Mus musculus: one gene and its partner. Each later gene encodes a partner of the first gene's protein in a complex. Links are inferred from orthologs where the notes say so. Each region holds a gene or a part of one and is shown on either strand. Other genes may lie near its edges.

Region 1 (5,216 bases):
AGTGGTTAGTGTAGATGGATTAGACAAGGTGAAGTTCTTTTGCAAAACACAATAACATGCTGTCTTAGGTTGGGTTTCTATTGCTATAAAGAGACTCCATGACCAAAGCAACTCTTAAAAAGACAAACATTTAACTGGTGTACAGTTTCAGAGGTTCAGTCCATTATCATCATTGTGGGAAGCATGGCATCGTGCAGGTAGACATGGTACTGGAGGAGCCAAGAGTTCTACATCTTGATCTGAAGGGAACCAGGAGGAGACTGTTCCATAGGTAGCTAGGAGGCAGCACTGATTCCAAACTGTGTGGAGCTTGAGCACTAGGAGCCCTCAAAGCTCTTCAACATGTGTCACTCTGTAACGCACATCCTCCAACAAGGCCACACCTATTGAAACCATCACACATGCCTTCTGAAGTATTGCAGCCAAGGGTGCTCAGGACAACACTGTGGCTAAGTTATCCCTTCATTGCTGCTTAGGTGTTGAATGTGTGAAAGGTAATCTGTCACAGAGAATAGGGAGCTTTCTTGGTGCCTTTTATAAAATGTCAGTAACATTTACAGTGACACCTAGATTTTGAAAAAGAGTGTATGTGGCAGTTGTTTATTAAGTAGATAGCTAGCAAGGTTCAAGCACCATAGTAGCCACATAAAAAGGCAACTTAATTTGAAGGAAATTACTTTTCCCTCATGGTTAACAGTTCCCATTGGTATGCTTGGCCTGATATAGCTGTTAACAGTGGATTGAACTAGAGATTGCTATTTCCTTTTCTTTCTCTCCCTCCCTCCCTCCCTCCCTCCCTCCCTCCCTCCCTCCCTCCCTTCCTGGATTTGGGAGTATGTGTGCAGTATTTGGTTTTTATATAGCAACAGCTGGCAACCCAATTTTTCAAAGAAACAGTGTCATGAAGTAGTGTAGCACACTCTGATGTTGAAAACCAGATGTAGGCTAGGCTAGCACATGGTGTGGTGTGTATCCTGTGTATCCTTATGAATTCTAAGCCTCACAGATGTACTTGTGGATTGACTAATAACCTAGAATTCCTTGATTCAACACAAACCTATTTAGCTTTCTAAAGTAAATCCTAAATCCTTAATTATTATTCTAGTATTAAATATTATATATTTAACAATGTTTTTATTTACTGATTTGCACTATTATTATTTTGAGGTGACATTTCACTGTTGCCCAGAGTACTCTCAAAGTTGTGAGCAGTCCTCGTGTTTCAACCTCCTTAGTAGCCAACACAGTAAGTGTGTGTTACCATATCAGATACCAAGTGTGTACTATGTTAGATATACAACAGATACCAGTTAACAAGCTAATAATTAAAGATTAAGAAAATTAGGATAAAGTTTAACATTTTTGACAACATTCATCTTACGTTTCAACCACCTGGATATATATTGTAAAAATAATTTCATTTCTCTAAGTATGTACATTTCTACTTAAGCATGTATAGCCTCAGGATGACCTTGTGTTATAAAGAAATACATCTTTTTCTAGTATCTACTAATGAGCTAATAGTCTCTGCTTCAAATTTTTAACATTAATAAGACTTAATTTCTGAATTTTATTTTAATAGTGGCCAATTCGCCATGGTATAGTTGAAGACTGGGACTTAATGGAAAGGTTTATGGAGCAAGTGATTTTTAAATATTTAAGGGCAGAACCTGAAGATCATTACTTTCTTTTGGTAAGTACACATTCTGATTTATTGGAGACTCCCCCTTTTTCTACATGGGATATATAAGCTCAGGATGGCTTTAAACTCAGTATCATTCTCTCTTACCTTCCCAAATGCTGGGTTATCAGGCCTGTGCCTTGATGCCTAGCCTACTAGGAAAATTTTTAAGGAACATTTTAATGTTTCTGGTGTAATTAGCAAGCATACTTAATCATTTAAGTTGTCTTGTCTGAAAGACTTTGTTACATAAAACTAGGTCATTCTTAAAACCGACTGGCTGCAGGTAGAGTAACAATGTGGCCAAGCACTAAAGTGTAATCTTGTAAATGCTTTTGGTGGTTAATATGTAATCATTACGCTATCACCCGAAAATACTTGTTTATTCCGTCACTGACAAAATCATGGGAGGGAAGAAAGTTTGCTTTCAGCTCAGTTTCTGAGGCTAACCTCCACAGTTGTTTGGCTCTATTGCTTCTGAGCCTGTGCCTAGTGAGATAGAGCATCTCTGGGAAGCAGCTTCTCTTACTTGGTTTTTAAACGATTTGATAGGGACTTCTAACTTCCTAGTAGAATAAGTGAACATTGCCTTTTTTTCCCCTTTTATCATCTCACAACATAAAATGACTGTCATATTTTATGTCTTTTTTTTTTTATTTGAGTATGAGTTTTGCTAATCTAGTGTTTAGTGTTTCATTGTGGTGCTTTGTGAATACTATTTGTAGCTGGACTTTATTTGTAGTGAAAAGAACATAACTGTAGACACCTATATGCCTACAACCTAAGTGCAATAATTAACATTTCAGTATAATTACATTTAGCATAATTGTTTTGACATGTATTGGTTTATCCATCTGTTAATCTGTTTTGTTTTTGAATCACATCAAAATGAACAATATACAGATGAGAATCAATTCATGCTTAAACATTTAGTATGTCCATCATCAAACAGTTCATTATTTGTTTATATTCTTTTTCATTTTTTTTTTTTTTCAATTCAACATGTCCTCTTGTTGGGCTTTATTTAGCATGCCAAAGGGGTCAGCAAGATTGTCTACTAAATGACAATCTTTTTTTTTTCCTTTTTTTTAAATTAGGTATTTTCCTCATTTACATTTCCAATGCTATCCCAAAAGTCCCCCCACTCCCCTACCTACCCACTCCCACTTTTTGGCCCTGGCTACCCCTGTACTGGGGCATATAAAGTTTGCGTGTCCAATGGGCCTCTCTTTCCAGTGATGGCCGACTAGGCCATCTTTTGATACATATGCAGCTAGAGTCAAGAGCTCCGGGGTACTGGTTAGTTCATAATGTTGTTCCACCTATAGGGTTGCAGATCCCTTTAGCTCCTTGGGTACTTTCTCTAGCTCCTCCATTGGGGGCTCTGTGATCCATCTAATAGCAGACTGTGAGCATCCACTTATATTCTTTTTCATATAAAGTTTACTATAAAAAAAATCACAAAGCTAAATCATTCTATAGATTTTGACCAGGTGTGGCAAAAGAAAAAGGGCCAGATAGTGGTAGGTATGTAGTAGGTAGGTAGGTAGGTAGATAGATGTGATAGATAGTTTAGATAGCTACCTAGGTAGGCAGACAGACAGACGGATGGATACTAAAGAAACCAAATGAGAGCGTAGCAGGTTTTGTTACAGCTATCCAGCTCTACTGTAGAGTGGAAATAGCCATAGACCATACTTAATGTAGTCAGTAAGTATAAATGTGTTTCTGTAAAGTAGTTTTTCAGAATTAGGTGATTGGTCCACCTTTAGTTTTAACAGCTGTAGTTGTGTAAATAACACATTATCAATACCTTTTCTAGTTAATTTATGCTCCTTATTCCCTAGAGGTAACCAGTGAATCATTCTATTTTAATTTTATTTTACAAGTGAGATTAATCTTGCCTGTAGTTGGTTTTTACACTGATGAATTCGTATAAGATGTGCTATAGTAAAATTTACATCATGCAGTTATGTATGACAGTCTGGCTCTTTGAACATTCTTGTCCTTATAGACATTTAATCTCATCTCTTTTGTGGATTTGCTCTGCTGCAGGGCAGACACTTAACTGGTATAGAACTCTGGCCTAGGGTGACTCTTCATCCAACATTGTAATCGAATTGCTCCTGCATTTTAGCCTGTTAATCTCTTTTAATTTTAGTCATTATGATTGTTGATTTGGTCTTAGTTTGCGTTTTCCTGGTGGTGACTTGTAATGATATTGAACAATTCAGTTTTTTAATTGAAAATAAAATTTTCAATTATACTAAAAATTATAATAAATGTGTTCTGATTATAGTTCCTTTCCCCCAGTTCCTCGAAGATCTTTCTAACTTTCCCCCGAATCCATACCCTTTCGTTTCTATCTCATTAGAATAACAAACAAGCATCTAAAAACATAAACCAGCCGGCATGGGCAAAACAAACGGGGAACAACAAGAGCAAAAGCGGAAGGAACACACAGACACTGAGAATATGTTATTTTTGTATATGTGTAGGTCTGTTTTACTCTCTATGGTCTTCCTGTAGTCTTTGTGTCTTTTTACCTATAAATTTAGTGCCTTTCAAATTATTTTATAAATTAGTTCCCCTTTAGAAATTGCCTATAAAGTTTAAAGTGATCTGATACTGTCTATTTAAAATACCATTCAATTCAATAGACTGAACCTCCACTGAATACTCCAGAAAACAGGGAATATACTGCTGAAATAATGTTTGAATCCTTCAATGTTCCAGGCTTGTACATTGCTGTGCAGGTAAGTGGCTTATGCTTATTTAAGCTTGCCTTTTACATTTTATCCAGGCTTAATTTTCTCCTAAACCATGCATATCTCTTTTCCTAGAAAGCTTTAGCATAATTTGAATCATACCATGCTTTCCTGAGGTGACAATTTAGACACGGTAGGGCTGTGCTTGCCTGACTTCTCGGTGCTACTCGTCACTCATTTAGTATTTGTTTCTTTCTTTGGTGTGCAAAAGTCAGTAAGATTTCTGTAATCTGGTTGGTATATTAATATATACATATTCTAGTTTGGGTTCTTTTAATATTATGTGAAACTCTTCATTGTTAAACCTTTAAAAATATTGTGTGCTGGTAAGCAGTCATTGTATTATTGAAATGATTTTGTTGTTGTTGTTGGGTGATGAGCCATGGCTGCAATCTCAGGAGTCTGAAGCCACATGATTGTTGGGAGGTTTTTTGGTTTTTGGGCTTTTTTATTTTGTTTTTAAAGGAGGGTAGTAGACTAAATACCTCTTGGTTCCTTTTTTTGTTACATTGTAAGCAGGCAAAGTTAGTTTTATCATCTGTTTTTAGTAACTACTCATATATTTTGATTTTAAGAAATTACCTTTTTTAAAAAACTGATACTCAGTTTACAAAAGTTACCCCCATCCCCTTCCCCACCCTGGGAAGAGTTGTTTTGTATCAGCCATCATGAGATTCTTGGTAGGAAAGTGGTATTGTGTGCTACTGGTTTTCTAGTTAACTCATGGTGTCTGGAAGTGTGTATGGCCTTTTCAGTTAAGGTACTTG
Region 2 (5,900 bases), on another chromosome or scaffold:
CTCAGCGGTTAGAGCACGGACTGCTCTGTCAAAGGTCCTGAGTTCAAATCCCAGCAACCACATGGTGACTCACAACCATCTGTAATGAGATCTGCCGCCCTCTTCTGGTGCATCTGAAGATAGCTACAGTGTACTTACATATAATAATAAATCTTTAAAAATAAATAAAATGTCCAGTGAAAACCATGTATATCAAGTAATAGCACGCAGCATACCATGTCTCTCAAATGGCAGCAGTCCATCCTAACGCTACAATAGTTTGAGTCATATAAATTACATTGGAGTTGGAGATACGGTTCAGTTGTAAAGTGTGTGCCTAGCCTGTCCCAAGGACCTGGGTTTACTACCTTTATCATCTAATGTGGGGGCGTGGCTTATCACAACTATGTACACCGCAGATTTACCCCCGCTGCAGCTTTTGGTTTCTTGAGAGAGGATCCACTGTGTAGCTGAGGCTAGCCCTGTCCCTGTGATTCTATTGCCTCAGCCTCCCATGTGCTGGGATTAGCAGTGTTCTATCATCTCCTTGCCAGGTGAAATTTCAAAGAGGAAGAATACTTATTTATGAAATAAAAACCAGTCAAGAGAAGACTGCTTTCAAAATATGGAGTGTAAAAAGGTCTAAGTTGTCAGACATATTAAAGATCAAAAGTAAAAAAAAGTCTCGATCCTTACATTAATAAAGTTTAGCGGCATCATCTCTGGGATCTAAATCCTGTGACCTTCTGGGGCTGCCGGTGGCTGTCACGCTTTTGGAGACACGTCCCCAGAGCTCTGCTCTAAAGGTCACACTCTGGGGTAGGTCTCCCATAGGTTCTGAATGGGAGCCCTATGACCCTGCTTTGGAATTAACCAAATCAGGAGGAACTATTCATCTGGCAACAAGACCAATGTCACTCAAGGTAGCCTGACAGTGCAAAAGCATAGATCCCTGGCCCCCTTGGGCAGGGCTTATTCTTGGGGGATGTTCTTCTCGGCCCCACTCTGACCTCGTTCCCTACCTGACTTCGACCTCTGGCTTGTTGTGTCGTTCCACGACCTGGGAGGAGAAGTTCTCCAGGCAGAGAGCAGCCTGCAGCGTGGCCCGCACGGCACTAAGGTAGGGGCGGAGAGTGGCAGTCTGCAGGAATAAACCCAAGACACAGGAAGGGTCAGAGTCTGCCTCAGCCAAGCAAAGCCAGTCCCTCACTGCAGCTCCTACACAACAGGCAGTACCGAAGGCTTCCTGCAGGGCTGTCACACAGAACAGACTACAGCCAGTCTTCAAGATGCAGTCCACTCAAAATCTCGAGTGGTTCCCAGCAGCAGATAATCCAGCTTGGCATCTCACAAAGTTTGAAGAAATAGTTGACTGTCATAGCCTGGGGACAGGGATACTACAGATATAAGTGCACACAGGCAAGACATGCTGCAATATCCTGGCATGCACAACAGAATTACACAGCATCACCAGTGCCAGAGCTAGGTAAGGCTGATGATCTAGAAGGAGCCATATCCCTATCTGCTGACTGCACTGACAAGTGTATCAATCCATGTCCTGAACTTGCTGGGAATTCAGAAGTGATCTCTCTTCTACCCTCAAACAGCTCAACTGGGCGAGAATCACAAGGGCTAACAGAGGGCAACATATAAAACTAGCTAGTCTTAAAAATAATCTAGACTGTCTAAAGAAACTGGTTTTGACCAGATACAGGATCAGGACGGTTCTACAATGAGAAAAAGTAAAAGCTGTCCATTCTCAGTGGACAAGGTCAGCTACAATGACCAGCTACATTATCTCGGGCAAGGCTTCTCTCCCCCCAGGGCTTATCACATGCTGGAGCATCCATCACCTGCAGCCCTTCCTCCCCGCAGCTTAGCTCAGCCTCTCAGAGCTCAGCTCAGTGGAGAAGGCCCCTTCCTTCCTCAAAGTGGCCTTTTTGACTTCCCCCTCAATGCATTTCTTACAGTTTATGGTATGTTCACTTTACATAAAATTCACAACAGAACGTTAGGAATAAATTTTTCCTTCACCAGTTTGTAATTCTCGTGGTCTACAGACATCAACTTCTATTCAGTTGTCAGGTTGTATCTAGCCCAGCACCTCCTATACATCAGGTCAAACCAATTTTCTGGAGAGTAAATGAACAAATGAACTAACTTAAGCAGGGCTAGATTTACACAAGAGCATTAAGACTTTCCAAACTGGTAACGAGTGCAAGGTTTCTGTATGTGAAAACTGCTTTAAATTGCACAGATCAGGCTGCAATGGCAGGCTGGGATAAAACCCTAGACAGTCTAGAATGCTTTCCACTGAGTTTTTCTCTCAATGTAGCAGGAAGCATTGGGACTTTCTGAGAAGGAAGTTACAGGGCTACCGCTGCACAGAGGCTCTCTGGAGGACGGGATGGAGAAGGAAGTGAGACTTGTGGCAGAGAAGAGGCACAGGCTGCGTGGGGCAGCGGAGACAAGCACAGGATCACGGACAGACAAACATCAGACAGAGGGGATAAAGGCTAAAAAACAGCTGTCATGTAGTTCAGCAGTGGGTTCTAGCTCCATACCACAGCATTCTCTTATGTCAACCAAGAAGAGGCAAAACCGGAAAGGCAAAATTAGTTGTGTGCGGTGACAAGTACCGTTGGGAAAGTGATAGAATATTCTTTTCTCTACCTCGATTGTGGCTACCTGATTATTTTGTCAAGGTTCATTGAAAGAAAACTAAATTTTAGATGACCAGCCCTGTGATAGTTACCCTTTAGTGGCTTGAAGAAATTGTACAATAAACTTGAATGCTTAAAAACGCAAAGTCAAAACTCAGTCAGCAGGAAATGGCTTTCACGCTAAGGAATGAAACCAGTTAGGACTAACACTGGAGCAAGCTTTAAAAAGTGACTTTTGAAAAAGAGGGTCTAATTTCAAAGTCTCTTCCCTGAGAGCATTCCCGGGCGTGCAACAAGCAGTCCAGCCTTTAGAACTCAGGTCGTCAAGGGCTGACCAGAGAAAGTAGTGGGAAGCCTGGGACCTTTCGGAGAACAACTGCACGGAGCACCCACAGATCCCAAACCCGAGCATGAAAGAGGAGGACCAGCGGCCATCAACATTTACACACGTTAAGGTCAACACGGTTCTGCACATCTAGGAAGGAGTCTGAATGCAGGCAAGCAACACAGAACCTTCATTGGGAGCTGGAAGGCAAGGCTTCCAGGAAGCGCCAAGAAGTAAGAAGATGAAGTGGACACTTGCCTCGAGGTCCCGTGAGACCGCGAAGGCAGGCAGGGACAGGGGGTTGTACTTAGCCAACCTCTACCGTGGACGGAGAGGAGGCCCCGCAGAGCGGTCCTACCTCAGCTGCAAGCCACCACCACGGGCTTCGCAGCCCGGTCTCCTGCCCCCTCCGAACATCGGGGAGAGGTCATTCTAGCCCGGGATTCCCAACCTGGAAGCTTCCGGGCCTGCTCTTGCTCAGAGAGCCTCCTGGCTCGCCCCTTCCTCCTCGCCTCGGCCCTCGCCCCACCCTTTGCCTCTCCATCCTCCCCGTGCCTCCTCATCCCGGGGCAACCTCGGGCCGCAAGCCCTAGCGGCAAGCAGCATCTCCCCCAGACCCACAGCCTCTACAGGCAAAACACAGGGAGGACCCCAACCCCTGGTCTCTCACCATCGCGGGCGCTGTCTGGGCCGGAAAGCGGAAGTGCGGAAGTGCCCGGACCCGCGACGCCTGCCCTTTCGAGAGAGGCGCAGCCGCAGTCTCCGACAGCACTTCCGGGCTGGACCATCTCGGGTAGGACCGGGGAGGGAGAGCCGAGAGATATTCAGATCTCCGGGGCGATTTCACACTGGGACCTCTGGGACTTGTAGAAGACCTGCTATGAGACAGTAGCGGTCGAGTCCCCTTGGATCGCTACACATATTCCGCCAGCGCCTTTAGTGCTTGTCGCTTTGGTTGTAGCCTCCCCCCGTGTGACAATAGTACAGCCCGACCTCAGGTTGGGCACCAAATTAGGACAGGCCGAACCGGAGAAACGTTTCTTCCGGTGGTGCTCCCCTATCCTCTCCGGGCTCCTCCCATTTGCAACCGTAGGGTTCGGCCGGGTAGCCAGTCCCTTGAGATTTGGGCTCTGGGCCCCACCCCAGCCCCGGGCTGCTTCCTAGCCCGGGACTCCTCAGGCCTAGCATTCCACCTCCCGGAGATTCGTAGGTGGCCTTAGACCCCCACCCCCACCCCGGCCCTACAGGCCACCTTGGGCTGGCCGTCCCCGCCCTCGCGTCAACTGCAGGGGGCCCGCCCATAGCCAGTTCCGGAGCAGTTGCTCCGATCGCCCTGAACTCCCCGCCCCCTCCTGCGGCCCAGGGCCTGTAGGAGGCCGCAGAGAGGAGGTAGGAGAGGCGGGGGTTGTGTTAGGGGCTCCCTAGAGGACGAGGACCCTGGAGGCGGGATCTTGGGGCGACACACAGGTGGAGCCAGCCATTAAGCAGTCCCACTTCTGTGCCAGGCACTGAACTGGGCACTTGACGAGCATCACCTCTTAATCCTCAGAACATTCCAGGGAGGTAGGTAATTCTCGATGCCCCCATTTTACAGATTTATACTTCTTAATGGGGAAATAGACTGAGGCATCATCTTTTGTCCTGGAAAAAAGAAAAACAAACAAACAAACAAACAAAAACCGGAGATTCAGGTTAAATAACATGTTTAGAAACGCACATAAGAAAATGGGCTGGAACTTAGTTCTGTTCACCTGACCAGCCTGTGTTCCAAACTAGCCAGGGACACAGAGAAGGTGCAGAGGTGGAATGGAGTGAGACAAGAGGAGGCAGGGAGAACCCTGTCAAATAGAATGCTAGAAACGACCCAACGTAGGGAAACAGAGGACATAGGAAGACAGGGCACACTAGTATCTCCTCTTCCTTAATGCTGCAGATTCCAGACTTCTGCGGTTCAAATTGCAACTAGGAGGCCGGCCTAATCATGCAGGTTTGTACACCTAGTGACTTGGGAGGCTAAAGCAGGTGGATCATAAGTTCAAGGCCTGGAATTCATGAAAGGGGGGGGGGGCTGGATGTAACTGTAACATAATTAAGTTTGGAGAATTTGTGCCTAGAATGAACAAGCGCTTGTATAAATCAGGTGTGGTACATGCCTAAAATTCCATCTCTTGGGAGGTGGAGACAAAACCTTGGCTACATAGCTAGTTTGAGACCAACCTGAGTGCATATCTTTATCCCAGCACTCAGAGGCAGGTGCTTTCTGGGGTGGGGGTCGGGAGGGGGAGCTCTATGAATCCTGATCTATGTAGCAAATGAGTATCAGGCCACTCAAGACTACATAATGAGATTTTTGTCTCCCCCACCCCAAAATGGGGGTGAGGTAGGGTCTGGAGATGTGTGAGACCCTTCAGTGCTACCAAAACAAAAAAAGACAATAAATTGCAGTTAGGAGTCTAGGCATGTGTACATACTCTTCTGGAGTCTTTTTCCTTTCTTTGTCAAAAGAAAGAAACCAGGCAGTGGTGGCACACGCCTTTAATCCCAGTAGAGGCAGGTGATCTCTGAATTGAAGGCCAGCCTGGTCTATAGAGTTCATTCCAGGCCAGCCAGAGTTGTTATACAGAGAAATTATGTTGAATGAATGAATGAATGAATGAATGAATGAAAAGCATGGCAAAAGGCCCCCCTTTTAAGGTTATGTGCATAATTCAGTGAAGTCAACCTAGCTTGGGGTACAGTCAGGGCTCTGTTGGGTCTCTCTCCCCATGCTACTTTGTCTCCTATCCAATGGCCTTCTCCCCTCTAATTTTACAGGGTCCCACCTCCTGGGCCATGAGCGAGCTGAAGGACTGTCCACTGCAGTTTCATGACTTCAAGTCTGTGGACCACCTGAAGGTCTGTCCCCGCTACACGGCAGTGCTGGCCCGCTCCGA

What was found. The genes of interacting proteins can lie anywhere in the genome.
Region 2: the proteins of Actr3 (region 1) and Arpc4 are in contact, whole or in part, in a cryo-EM structure (PDB 6YW6), measured with the Homo sapiens proteins. The link is inferred for Mus musculus from reciprocal best matches to the Homo sapiens genes ACTR3 and ARPC4. Residues at the interface, in NP_005712.1 of Homo sapiens: Lys53, Gly54, Val55, Leu58, Glu121, Glu124, Tyr125, Glu128, Glu132, Tyr400, Glu401, Pro405, Arg409; in NP_005709.1 of Homo sapiens: Lys89, Arg92, Phe93, Met96, Arg97, Glu99, Asn100, Arg156, Ile159.

Annotation. Positions count from the first base shown.
Region 1 is NC_000067.6:125,407,741-125,412,956, reverse strand, and holds part of Actr3 (actin-related protein 3), read left to right. Parts: intron 1-1,582; coding exon 1,583-1,693; intron 1,694-4,341; coding exon 4,342-4,437; intron 4,438-5,216. UniProt on the Homo sapiens protein: ATP-binding component of the Arp2/3 complex, a multiprotein complex that mediates actin polymerization upon stimulation by nucleation-promoting factor (NPF).
Region 2 is NC_000072.6:113,375,946-113,381,845, reverse strand, and holds the start of Arpc4 (actin-related protein 2/3 complex subunit 4), read right to left. Parts: upstream 3,734-5,900; 5' UTR 3,641-3,733; coding exon 3,638-3,640; intron 1,121-3,637; coding exon 1,002-1,120; intron 1-1,001. Other genes in the region: Tada3 (transcriptional adapter 3), read left to right, coding at 4,949-4,954, 5,782-5,900. UniProt on the Homo sapiens protein: Actin-binding component of the Arp2/3 complex, a multiprotein complex that mediates actin polymerization upon stimulation by nucleation-promoting factor (NPF).